Arabidopsis thaliana: one gene and its partner. The protein of the gene in region 1 interacts with the protein of each later gene in a pairwise test. Each region holds a gene or a part of one and is shown on either strand. Other genes may lie near its edges.

Region 1 (5,855 bases):
AAGGTATCAATATCACTGTTTGGATATTGAAGCTAAAGTAAAGAGAGAACGTAAACGAAAGAGTAGAGAGAAACTAACTCAGTTAACTAATAAAACCAATTGTACAAGTAGATTGATTAATTCAAGAAAACAACTAATTTGTTAACAACTCCGTTTAACAAACTAACAAACTCACAAAACTAAAACTAAAACAAATTTGTTAAATTATTATATATTTTTAACACTTTTATGTCTTTGTAGTATATATTATTGAATTTTCTTGTCAAGTAAAGTTTTTGGATTTGTTTGGATAAAACTGGGAGTTTAGGAAAATAGAGCAAATCAGCAAAATGCATCAAATGAAAAAAGATTGAAGATCACGACCGACCTTGACAATCGTAAGAGTCAGTACATAAGATGTCCAGAACTGATCGGTTACATACTTGTACCGATCATTATAAAAAATGTTTCTTAGTTTAGGATTCCGACTCATTGCATATAAATTCTTAACACTTTGTAATCGTATAGGCAGATTGTTTTGTTTTTTTTTCTGTGATTATCTAGTTTTTCTATATAAAATTTTATAAACAAAATGATCGTTTGAAGAATTAGAGCATATTTGTCATTTGTTATTTTGACTAATCCATCTCCATTCAAATTGTCCAATTATGTTTAGTCAAATGAGTTTGAAAATTTTGCCTAATTTAATCATCCAAATGAGCAAAAGAATAAAGCCACACATTACTTACTAATAATATTAAAGCCCACATTAAAATAATTTCTCACGTAAAAAACAAATACTTACACAAACCTATATAATCTAGACTCTACTTCACTTGTTTGCCCTAAACCATCTATCATCTCTCTTTCAATTCATCTACACCTTATTTTTATATTTCTCAAATACTTTTCGAGAAAATTATATACCCTTTTTAATATACGACGAATGAAATCGCAGGAAGATAATCTTCTACTTGTTCTTCTACTCGAGGGGATAAAAAATTACGGACTTAAGAGATGGGATAAGATACTAGCATCACTTCTTCTATCCCAGCGAAGTATCGCTAAATGTAAAAAAAAATTCTAATCTTTCGTTAAACGAAAGGTAAATTATTTTCTCGAAAAAATTTGTGTATAGAATTAAAGGTTTTCTTTAGTCAATAGCTAATCAATCTTATCATTTATTTTCTACTAGTTTCTTATTTGCACAATACATTTGAGAAAATTATGTTATGTTTTCAAGAGTTTTGGGTTTTTGTAGAGTATTAGATAAAATCAATATTTTCTCTCTTGAGACTAGTTTCTTCTTTGCACCATACATTTGTGTTCTTTTTCATTTTCTCAAAGCTGTTTGTTTTACCGAATTTTCTCTTGGGTTGTGGAGAATATTTTTTTTTTTTAGTTTTTATAACACCTTATCTTATATAAAAACAAAAGAGTTTGTTTTTACAAGGGATGATGGATGATGAATCTATAGATGGTCGTAGTACCACACTCTCTATGGACTCAAGTTGTGGAGAATCTTTTTTTTTTTAGTTTTTATAACACCTTATTTGATATAGAAACAAATGATTTTGTTCTTACAAGAGATGATGGATGATGAATCTATAGATGGTCGTACCACATTCTCTATGCACCCTATGAATCAAGTTGTGGAATCAATCAAAGTTGGCCACATATAGTTATGAAATGATTTTGTGATAAAAACACAAATTAATTTCTATGTGAATCACAAAGAAAATATATATATATATATATAATTCCCATTTGAAGTTTAAGCACAGACCTTAGAAAAATATGTAAACAAAGCCGATGTCTATAGTCCAATAAAAACAAATTTCGCCGGGAAAAGGAATATAAAAAATTTGTCACATTTACCAAAAAATAATAGGAGAGTTTATATAGTTTCAACGTACAATTAATGATCTAGGTTATCGAGTTTTAATTTCCATTTCTCCTAATTTTGCTGACTTGAGCTACATATTATTGAGCATTCTTGTTCTTTCAGGGTTTATAGAGAGATTGGCTGATAATTACTGTTTGTTATCTGAGTCCCCAAACGATTTACTGATATCAACAACGTATTGATGATGTATTGTTTTAGAAACACATATATGTAAAAAAAAAATTCTTGATTAGAGTGATATCAACAACTTGAGACATGGACAGGTAACAGGTTGATCCACAATTCTATCTTTACGTCATAATAATAACAAAAAATTCGTAAAAAGATGAGTTTTGTTAATTACTTCTCTTATTATAATCAAAGTTTTGATTTTTATTTTCCAATAAGTCGCCGGGAAAAGTAAAATAAAAAGCCGTCACGTCTCCGATAAATAATAGAGTATCGTTAGATAGGTAGCTTCAACGTAAGGAATCTAAATTGGTTCAGCTCAAAAAACGAAAACGATGGGTTCCATCGAAGAAGAAGCAAGACCTCTCATCGAAGAAGGTTTAATTTTACAGGTTTGTTCAATTTCAATTAATCACTTAGGTTAGCGAATTTTGATTTTACTCAATTCCAAAATCTTGACTTTAGATTGATCTTATGCATTTTCTTTCTGGGTTTATTGAGATCTTTTCTGGGCAATCACTGTTTTATCTAATTGATGATTCCAATGTTTGAATTTTGCAAGTAGATATAGATCAAAGTTTCGAGCTTTGATACAGTTATAGTTTAGTTAGCTAATCAAAAATGTTTTGTGAATTTGTTTTAAGTAGGAAGTGAAATTGTATGCTGAAGATGGTTCAGTGGACTTTAATGGAAACCCACCATTGAAGGAGAAAACAGGAAACTGGAAAGCTTGTCCTTTTATTCTTGGTAATGAATGTTGTGAGAGGCTAGCTTACTATGGTATTGCTGGGAATTTAATCACTTACCTCACCACTAAGCTTCACCAAGGAAATGTTTCTGCTGCTACAAACGTTACCACATGGCAAGGGACTTGTTATCTCACTCCTCTCATTGGAGCTGTTCTGGCTGATGCTTACTGGGGACGTTACTGGACCATCGCTTGTTTCTCCGGGATTTATTTCATCGTAAGCATTGCTTCTCTGTGTAATGTTTGGTTTGGTTTGTTTGCTCCTGATTACTGATAGGTTTTTGTATTTGTTTAGGGGATGTCTGCGTTAACTCTTTCAGCTTCAGTTCCGGCATTGAAGCCAGCGGAATGTATTGGTGACTTTTGTCCATCTGCAACGCCAGCTCAGTATGCGATGTTCTTTGGTGGGCTTTACCTGATCGCTCTTGGAACTGGAGGTATCAAACCGTGTGTCTCATCCTTCGGTGCCGATCAGTTTGATGACACGGACTCTCGGGAACGAGTTAGAAAAGCTTCGTTCTTTAACTGGTTTTACTTCTCCATCAATATTGGAGCACTTGTGTCATCTAGTCTTCTAGTTTGGATTCAAGAGAATCGCGGGTGGGGTTTAGGGTTTGGGATACCAACAGTGTTCATGGGACTAGCCATTGCAAGTTTCTTCTTTGGCACACCTCTTTATAGGTTTCAGAAACCTGGAGGAAGCCCTATAACTCGGATTTCCCAAGTCGTGGTTGCTTCGTTCCGGAAATCGTCTGTCAAAGTCCCTGAAGACGCCACACTTCTGTATGAAACTCAAGACAAGAACTCTGCTATTGCTGGAAGTAGAAAAATCGAGCATACCGATGATTGCCAGTAAATATCCGCTTCATTGCTTTCCAGTAATGTATAGCTTTACTTGGTTTAACAAGTTATTCTGGTATGATGCAGGTATCTTGACAAAGCCGCTGTTATCTCAGAAGAAGAATCGAAATCCGGAGATTATTCCAACTCGTGGAGACTATGCACGGTTACGCAAGTCGAAGAACTCAAGATTCTGATCCGAATGTTCCCAATCTGGGCTTCTGGTATCATTTTCTCAGCTGTATACGCACAAATGTCCACAATGTTTGTTCAACAAGGCCGAGCCATGAACTGCAAAATTGGATCATTCCAGCTTCCTCCTGCAGCACTCGGGACATTCGACACAGCAAGCGTCATCATCTGGGTGCCGCTCTACGACCGGTTCATCGTTCCCTTAGCAAGAAAGTTCACAGGAGTAGACAAAGGATTCACTGAGATACAAAGAATGGGAATTGGTCTGTTTGTCTCTGTTCTCTGTATGGCAGCTGCAGCTATCGTCGAAATCATCCGTCTCCATATGGCCAACGATCTTGGATTAGTCGAGTCAGGAGCCCCAGTTCCCATATCCGTCTTGTGGCAGATTCCACAGTACTTCATTCTCGGTGCAGCCGAAGTATTCTACTTCATCGGTCAGCTCGAGTTCTTCTACGACCAATCTCCAGATGCAATGAGAAGCTTGTGCAGTGCCTTGGCTCTTTTGACCAATGCACTTGGTAACTACTTGAGCTCGTTGATCCTCACGCTCGTGACTTATTTTACAACAAGAAATGGGCAAGAAGGTTGGATTTCGGATAATCTCAATTCAGGTCATCTCGATTACTTCTTCTGGCTCTTGGCTGGTCTTAGCCTTGTGAACATGGCGGTTTACTTCTTCTCTGCTGCTAGGTATAAGCAAAAGAAAGCTTCGTCGTAGTAATGCTGTTATCTATCTACTTTCATTACATACAAAAGTTTGTTTCTTTCAACTGTAACTGTCTCTGTATCAATAACAACATTGCTGTGTACTTTTCCTTTCAATTTCAAAAGTTTAAGTCGCATTTGCAATATTATAAACAATTCAGGGTTCGAATACTAAATTGAGAGAAATTGTCCATAGGCTTAGTAAATCAAATGGGCTTTTGGCCCATATCAAACGGGCACAAATATGACCCGGAGAAGAAGAATGTTCCGGGTCAATAAAATCGAAGAAGAAGAAGAGAGTATCGTTGTGAGGTTTGGGGATCGCGAAAATGGAGGTTCCAGGTTCATCGAAGAAGATGATCGCAACGCAAGAAGAGATGTCTGCAGCTAAAATAGCACTTGGATCTAGAGATATGTGCGCTCATCTCTTGATTCCGCTCAACAAATGTCGTCAGGCTGAGTTTTACCTTCCATGGAAATGTGAAGACGAGCGTCACGTTTATGAGAAGTGTGAATACGAGCTTGTTATGGAGAGAATGCTTGCGATGAAGAAGATCCGTGAAGAAGAAGCTTTGGCTAAACAGAATAAACTACAAGGAAACGCTGCTGTTCCTCTTATCCCTAAAACTGCTAATGCTTAGGATTCGATTCCTTCTCCAATTTGCCGATTCCAGATTCCGGTTAGTCTATAGTTTTTCGATTTCTTGTGTTTTGGTTGATTTGATTGAATTGGTTTGTTTCTTCTGCTACATGATCAGATCTTCGTGTTCTTCAAATTCCAAATTAGGGTTTCATTGGGAATAAATGAGATTGCTTGTTCAATTAGATGTCTAATGCATTATCTTGGTTTTGAATTGTGAATTCTCTCGTCTTAGCAATTTTGTTGCCTCTGTTGTGAACATTTGACTACAATTGGATTCAATTTCTCTTAGACTGCAATCACAATTGTTCTGTATCAATCATGTTAGAGAAATGTCTGGACTTTGTACTTCTTGTTGTAAAGTATCTCAATGATATCTGAAGTTTGGATAAGGAAAATTCCATCATTGACTGGATTTTCTACAGATTTTGTTTTTTCATGATGTTTCCTTTTCAAAGCTTAATAGATAAGTCTTTAAGTAATCAGTAGCACTAATTTGCTGGAACCTTTAGACTATATAAGGATTTAAGTGTGTTTTACTGATTAACAGGACACAATTCAATTCGTTAGACTATATCTTTTATGTTTGCAAGTTATATGTTCGATGAACTTGTAAATAGTGTCTCAGATATCATGACTAGCAATTGTTACAGTGACTTTGTGTTACAGACCCG
Region 2 (5,606 bases), on another chromosome or scaffold:
CAAGAACACCAAGTAAGAACAAGTTTAGGACATTCAAAGCTAAGCTGAAAATTCAACGAATATAATTGTAACCAATATCATAAAGCTGAGGACAGAATCTGATGCTTAGTCAACCCTCGAGTCAACATAATAAAACCCCAATAAAAAAAACTCTGAATCGAACAAAGAAAACGAAAAAGATTCATTGCTGAGGAAATTAAGCGAACTCTACACAACTTGGAATCTGCAGAAACAACTTTCTAAAAACAGAGATATATGGAACGGGAACAAAGCTTAAGACTACAGAAGAATGATGAATTACCTTGCGGAAATGGCAGTTTCAGCTCTCTCTCTCTCTCTGTCTCTTTATCAGAGAGGACGACGAAGATTAGAACCGTGGAAGCGCGGTAAGACCAAATCATTCATCGTCAAAGATTTTTGTTGCTATTTATTATGAGCTCCATTAATCTCTTAAATAAAGTTTTATCGGTCTACTTAGTCAATTAATAACGATATTTTTGGTGCATACTTTCTCTTAATAAATGCGTTAGACTCGTGGCGGGTTTTGCGTCAAACCTTGTTAGGTAGGTTATGTATTTAAATATTTTAATTTTTGACTTTTTGATGTTTGTTTTTTTGGATTTTGGATTAGGAGAAGCTGCTCCTGTGTTTTTAATTTAATTTGGGGCAGTTAACGAAACTTACGTGATGTATTTAAATACCTCGACTCGACTCGACTCTCGTTTGCCAGGAAATTTTCATTATCAAATGATAAAACTAGCTTCCAGAATTTTTTTTAACTTAAATTTGCAATCAAAGCTTATCGTGGCATCAAAGAAATTGTGCATGAATTTCCCCTAAACGACTAAACATTGTTTGTGACCTTTAAACATCAAATTAAATGCGAGCGCGTTTCCATTAATCTTTGACCATTTCTTCCCCATTTTTGACCATTTTTTTTTTCTCTAAGAAATTCAAAACCAGAGTTCACGTTATTACTTTGAAAAACATCAAGATATCTAAATGTATAAATATTAAGATTTTTTTTTTAACTTATATACTTAAACCCAAAAAAAAAAAATCTATCTAAAAGAAAATGAAATAACGCACATCTGAAGAAGGAACTTCATGTTTACGTTTTATTTCTGCCAAAATTCTAAGAAACGCCGGAAGTTTTACACAAACGATACGATTCGGATTCTTCCAAAGCTATACTCTAAAAACCATAAAACACTATAATACAAATACATCAGGACATTGTTTTGTTACCATACTGAAACTCAACTTTCTATTGTTTGTTTCACTAAAAAGAGCAATCTCTCTTATTCTTATTCTTCAATGAAAAGGTCTCTTTGCTTTTCCTTTACTCACTCATCATCCCTCTGTGGTTCTTTATGTGAAGAAGCCACTAGTTGCCAAGGAGTGTACGTGAGTCCTCGTGAGATAAGGTAAAGTACAAACACAACATAAGCAATTGCGAATATGATCACTGGCACAAGCAAAATCAAATTCGTTGCAGCTCCTGAGAAGAAATCCACCATTAGATACCCATTAATGGCTATCACAAGAGCAGCTACTATCCATGAGATTGTTTGGACTAAAGGTTGAATTTTGAAACTGCCCATGATTTGCTCATTGGAGACCAAGCAAAGGAGTGGGATCACAGCGAAAGGGATCTGAACCGATTGAAGAACGTTTAGCCATTCGTTGAGCTCATCAAGCATAGAATCCGATGAATCAAAGACAAGCGCCACGATCATTGTTGGTATGATTGCACAGCTTCTTGTGATCAAGGCTCTAACCCATTTCTTCATCTTGAGATTCAAGAACCCTCCCATTATAAACTGTCCGGCGTACGTACCTGTGATGGTACTACTCTGACCAGCAGCTAAGACTCCAATCGCCCATATATACAGTATCGGGAAAAACCCACCCCCGTATTTGTCCTGTAAGTACTGTCCAGCATTTGCAAGACCGATGGTGTCCGCTATCTCTGTCCCGTAAAACGACTTGGCAAACACCGTGGTCACAAAGACGTTGATAATGAAAGAAACCGCAAGAGCACCAGTGGATTCAATGGAGTAGTACTTGAGAGCTTCTTTGACCCGGAATCTCTTTTTCGGATCGACTTCTCTGGATTGCACAAGTGCTGAATGCAAGAACACATTGTGAGGCATGATAATACATCCCACAATACCAACAGCTTGTTTGATAGTCCTGGAGCTAAGCTTAGGGACCAATGCTCCTGTTAAAAAACATGAACAGTTACCATTTTTGTACTCCCATCTCCACACACTAGACAAAAGAAAGGAATATTTAGAGTCTCACCAACAAGGAGCTCAGTTCCACTGGGTTTCGTCTGACCAAACATCCAAGCAAATGCAAGAGCCATTGTTGCAATCAAAATAGCAAACACAGCTTCTAGTTTCCTTATTCCATAATTCTCCAAAAATAGAAAGATGAAACTGCAATTAACCCATCACACACAATGTTAGGATCAAAACTAAAGATACCAAACAAACAATAATAAAGAACCCTAAATTCCAAAAATTAGGGTTTTTCCTAAATCAATAACCAAATTGAGAAAAAAAAAAACACTTACCAATCAAGAGCAGTGATAACAACACCAGCCCAAAGAGGAACCAATCCATTAGACAAGATCTTGATAGCTATAGCACTACCAATAACTTCCTGAATATCAGCTCCGATCAAAGCAATCTCCGCCATAATCCAAAGCACCATCCTTGCCCAAGTCGGATACTCTTCTCGACACAACTCCGCCAGATGTCTACCCGTCGCCACACCGAGACGGGCAGATAGAAGTTGAATCAGAAGCCCAATCGCCGTAGCCCACATCAATAGCCAAATCAAAGAGTAACCAGCGATGGCTCCAGCTTGAAGATCGCTCTCGAGATTACCTGGATCGAGGAAAGCGATACTCATCAGAAAACCAGGTCCAGTGAATAGCCAAAGCTTCTTCCATGAGAATTTAGGAGAGTTTCCGGGGTCATCGTCGTAATCAGCGTCTTCTTCTTCGTCGATTCCGACTATGAGAACTTTCTCGGTTTCTTCATAAGCTCTCTCCTCCGATGCTAATAACGGACGCTCTCTATCAGTCTCCGACATATTTCCCGGTAACCGCCGATTCTCAGAGTCGGAATTCAGAAATGCTAAATTCGAAATTGGTGGTGGTGCTGCGACTAAAGTGACGACTATCTTGAAATTTGCAACTGCTTTGTTGCTTTATATATATACTATAATCGACTTAGGGGTAGATAATACCGTTTTATCCAATACTATTACGCCACGTCAGAATAAGAAGTGGCAGTATATGTGAATGGTAAATAAGCGCAGGGATAGATTTGTCAATAAGTCGAGAGAACGTGTAACTTGGGGATTATCGAGTCTTCTTCTTGGGAGTCTCATTATCCTCACACAAAAGTATGGTGCTCAAGGAAATTACTAGTTTGGTCGACCATATTAATGGTGATGATTACAGATTAAAAAATGCGACGTGGTGAACAGAAACAAAAATAAATAAAGGGAATGGGTTAAGTAGAAGTAGAAACGTGTTTGGCCTGGGGGTTACACGAATCCGTCAGCTCTCGCCACGCGCCATCATCCACTTTCACTGTTTCACCCAACGGTTTACTACTACTACATAAAGACACCTTCATAGTTGATGTCCTCATATCTCAATTGCATTACATCACTTTCAATTCAAATCTAGCTTTGTGGTCTAAATTCAAAGATATGGATGTAGTAACCCTTGTAATCTTATGCAGTTTGTTTTCTTTCAATTCATTGTTACTCGTCAGTCAACCCAAAAGTTGCAATGATAGATAAAATAACAAAAATAATCTCAAGTACAGTTTCATCTTTCGAATTTAGTGTTATAACTTATAGATATGTGCAACAACAAAAAGAAACACCTTGGACTGAGAGAGTGTTATTAGGACTACAATTAAGAAAACTACATTCTGAAATCAAGAACGCAAACTGAGTTATCAGCGAAGCAAGCTGCGATTTTGTTACCTTCTTTGTTCCAACACACTTCGAATATCCCTCCATTTCCTGTGTATGTCTTTACGATTTTACCTTCTTTAATCGACCATATGTGTATCGATTTGTCCAAAGACCCACTCGCTATGTACTCCCCGTTTGGACTAAACGCCAGTGAGTAAACCGGTTCCCTTCATATCACAACAACGAAACTTATAACCAACGGTTTACAGCTAAACCCCGCAAAAGTACATTGAGGTTTAACTTTTACCTGTGTCCATTGAAACTACAGAGCATCTTCCCGAGTTCTGCATCCCATAGCTTTACTGTTGAGTCAAATGATGCACTGTTCCATTCAAACAACAACAACAACACAGAGATGATGAATGATATGTTACAATGACGCTTTGTTTTTAAAGTATTCAATGTTTAAAGCGTGTTGTAACCTTGCAAGAGTTAGCTGTTTGTTAGGATTGTTAGTTCCTGGTCCTGTAGGGCTCCATCTGATTGTATAAATTTCCTAAAGAGAAGATTAATATCCATCTTTAGAGGCTATTCAAAATCCAAAAATATATTTGAAATTTCCTTAAGACTTTTGAGGATTTATGGATTTACCTTAGTATGCTCTCGGAGGTCATGAACAAAGGTGCTTTGTTTTATATTCCATATCTGAAGAAAAAATATACATTTATAAAAAGAGGCAGAGAGAAACTTAAAGAAATGTAGAATATGCTCAAGTTAATTCAAAGAACCTTAGCAGTACTATCATCTGAGCATGAGGCCAATAATGAACCAGTAGGATCCCATTTCACACAGTTGACCTCACCCTGCCATTATGGAAGCCATGGGTTTGGTTAGTACCAGACATTTGTTACTTGCGACTGAGAAAACTAAACATACTGATACGATATGGGAGAAACTTGGATGACAGATACAAACCTGATGCCCAGTAAAGGTTTTGGCAGGCCTAGTTTCTCCAATCTTACATAAGTAGATCATGCTGTCCGTGGAACTCGTTGCAAAAGATACATTGTTGCGCCAATCAACATCAAGTGTTGGACCTATTTTCAAAAAAAATTCATTCCATGTCATATGCATGAGAAATTGATTCAAATTGATGTTTAATCAAAAAAGAAATAAAATTGCACCTGAATGAAATTCAAATTGTTGCTTCCACTCCTCTGCCTTTACGTCCCAAACAACAGCAGTTCTATCAACACTACCGGTTAGAAGATAGTCCCCCTTCTTGTTCCACTTAAGGGAAAAAATAGGTCCCTTGTGTTTGCTAAGAGTACTTATCAGTTCACCTGGAAATGTGAAAAAGAAAGACGTAATTTGTAATTTAGAAGCTGACTCTCCAATACATAACAGAAGGTGGAGTAAATGTTTTTGGCCAAGGATATGATACCCAATGCAGAGTTATAATGTTTTTTACTAGCTGATAGCTTTTATTGTTTCAATCTTGTGTCGTGTTACTATCAAAAGCCCACACAACTCGAACATCACAATTTGTAGCTCACGCTAGAAGGAAACATAGAGATATTAATTTAGGCATAAATAACTAAGCATATTCATTGATTCATAGTAAAAATAAGATTAATTTCAAGAAAATAGAGATGCTAGTG

Evidence for each region. The genes of interacting proteins can lie anywhere in the genome.
Region 2: the proteins of PTR2 (region 1) and NRAMP4 interact in a protein complementation assay, tested with the Arabidopsis thaliana proteins (one large-scale study listed by BioGRID).

The regions. Positions count from the first base shown.
Region 1 is NC_003071.7:485,154-491,008, forward strand, and holds PTR2 (peptide transporter 2), read left to right. Parts: upstream 1-2,244; 5' UTR 2,245-2,388; coding exon 2,389-2,445; intron 2,446-2,700; coding exon 2,701-3,018; intron 3,019-3,096; coding exon 3,097-3,653; intron 3,654-3,728; coding exon 3,729-4,554; 3' UTR 4,555-4,788; downstream 4,789-5,855. Other genes in the region: AT2G02050 (NADH-ubiquinone oxidoreductase B18 subunit), read left to right, coding at 4,871-5,182. UniProt on the Arabidopsis thaliana protein: Peptide transporter. Mediates the transport of di- and tripeptides. High affinity, low capacity transporter. Can also transport histidine.
Region 2 is NC_003076.8:26,859,321-26,864,926, reverse strand, and holds NRAMP4 (natural resistance associated macrophage protein 4), read right to left. Parts: upstream 3,662-5,606; 5' UTR 3,106-3,661; coding exon 2,582-3,105; intron 2,445-2,581; coding exon 2,308-2,444; intron 2,225-2,307; coding exon 1,347-2,224; 3' UTR 1,030-1,346; downstream 1-1,029. Other genes in the region: HOS15 (WD-40 repeat family protein), read right to left, coding at 3,953-4,172, 4,253-4,327, 4,428-4,501, 4,597-4,650, 4,734-4,808, 4,921-5,042, 5,130-5,288. UniProt on the Arabidopsis thaliana protein: Vacuolar metal transporter involved in intracellular metal homeostasis. Can transport iron (Fe), manganese (Mn) and cadmium (Cd). Regulates metal accumulation under Fe starvation.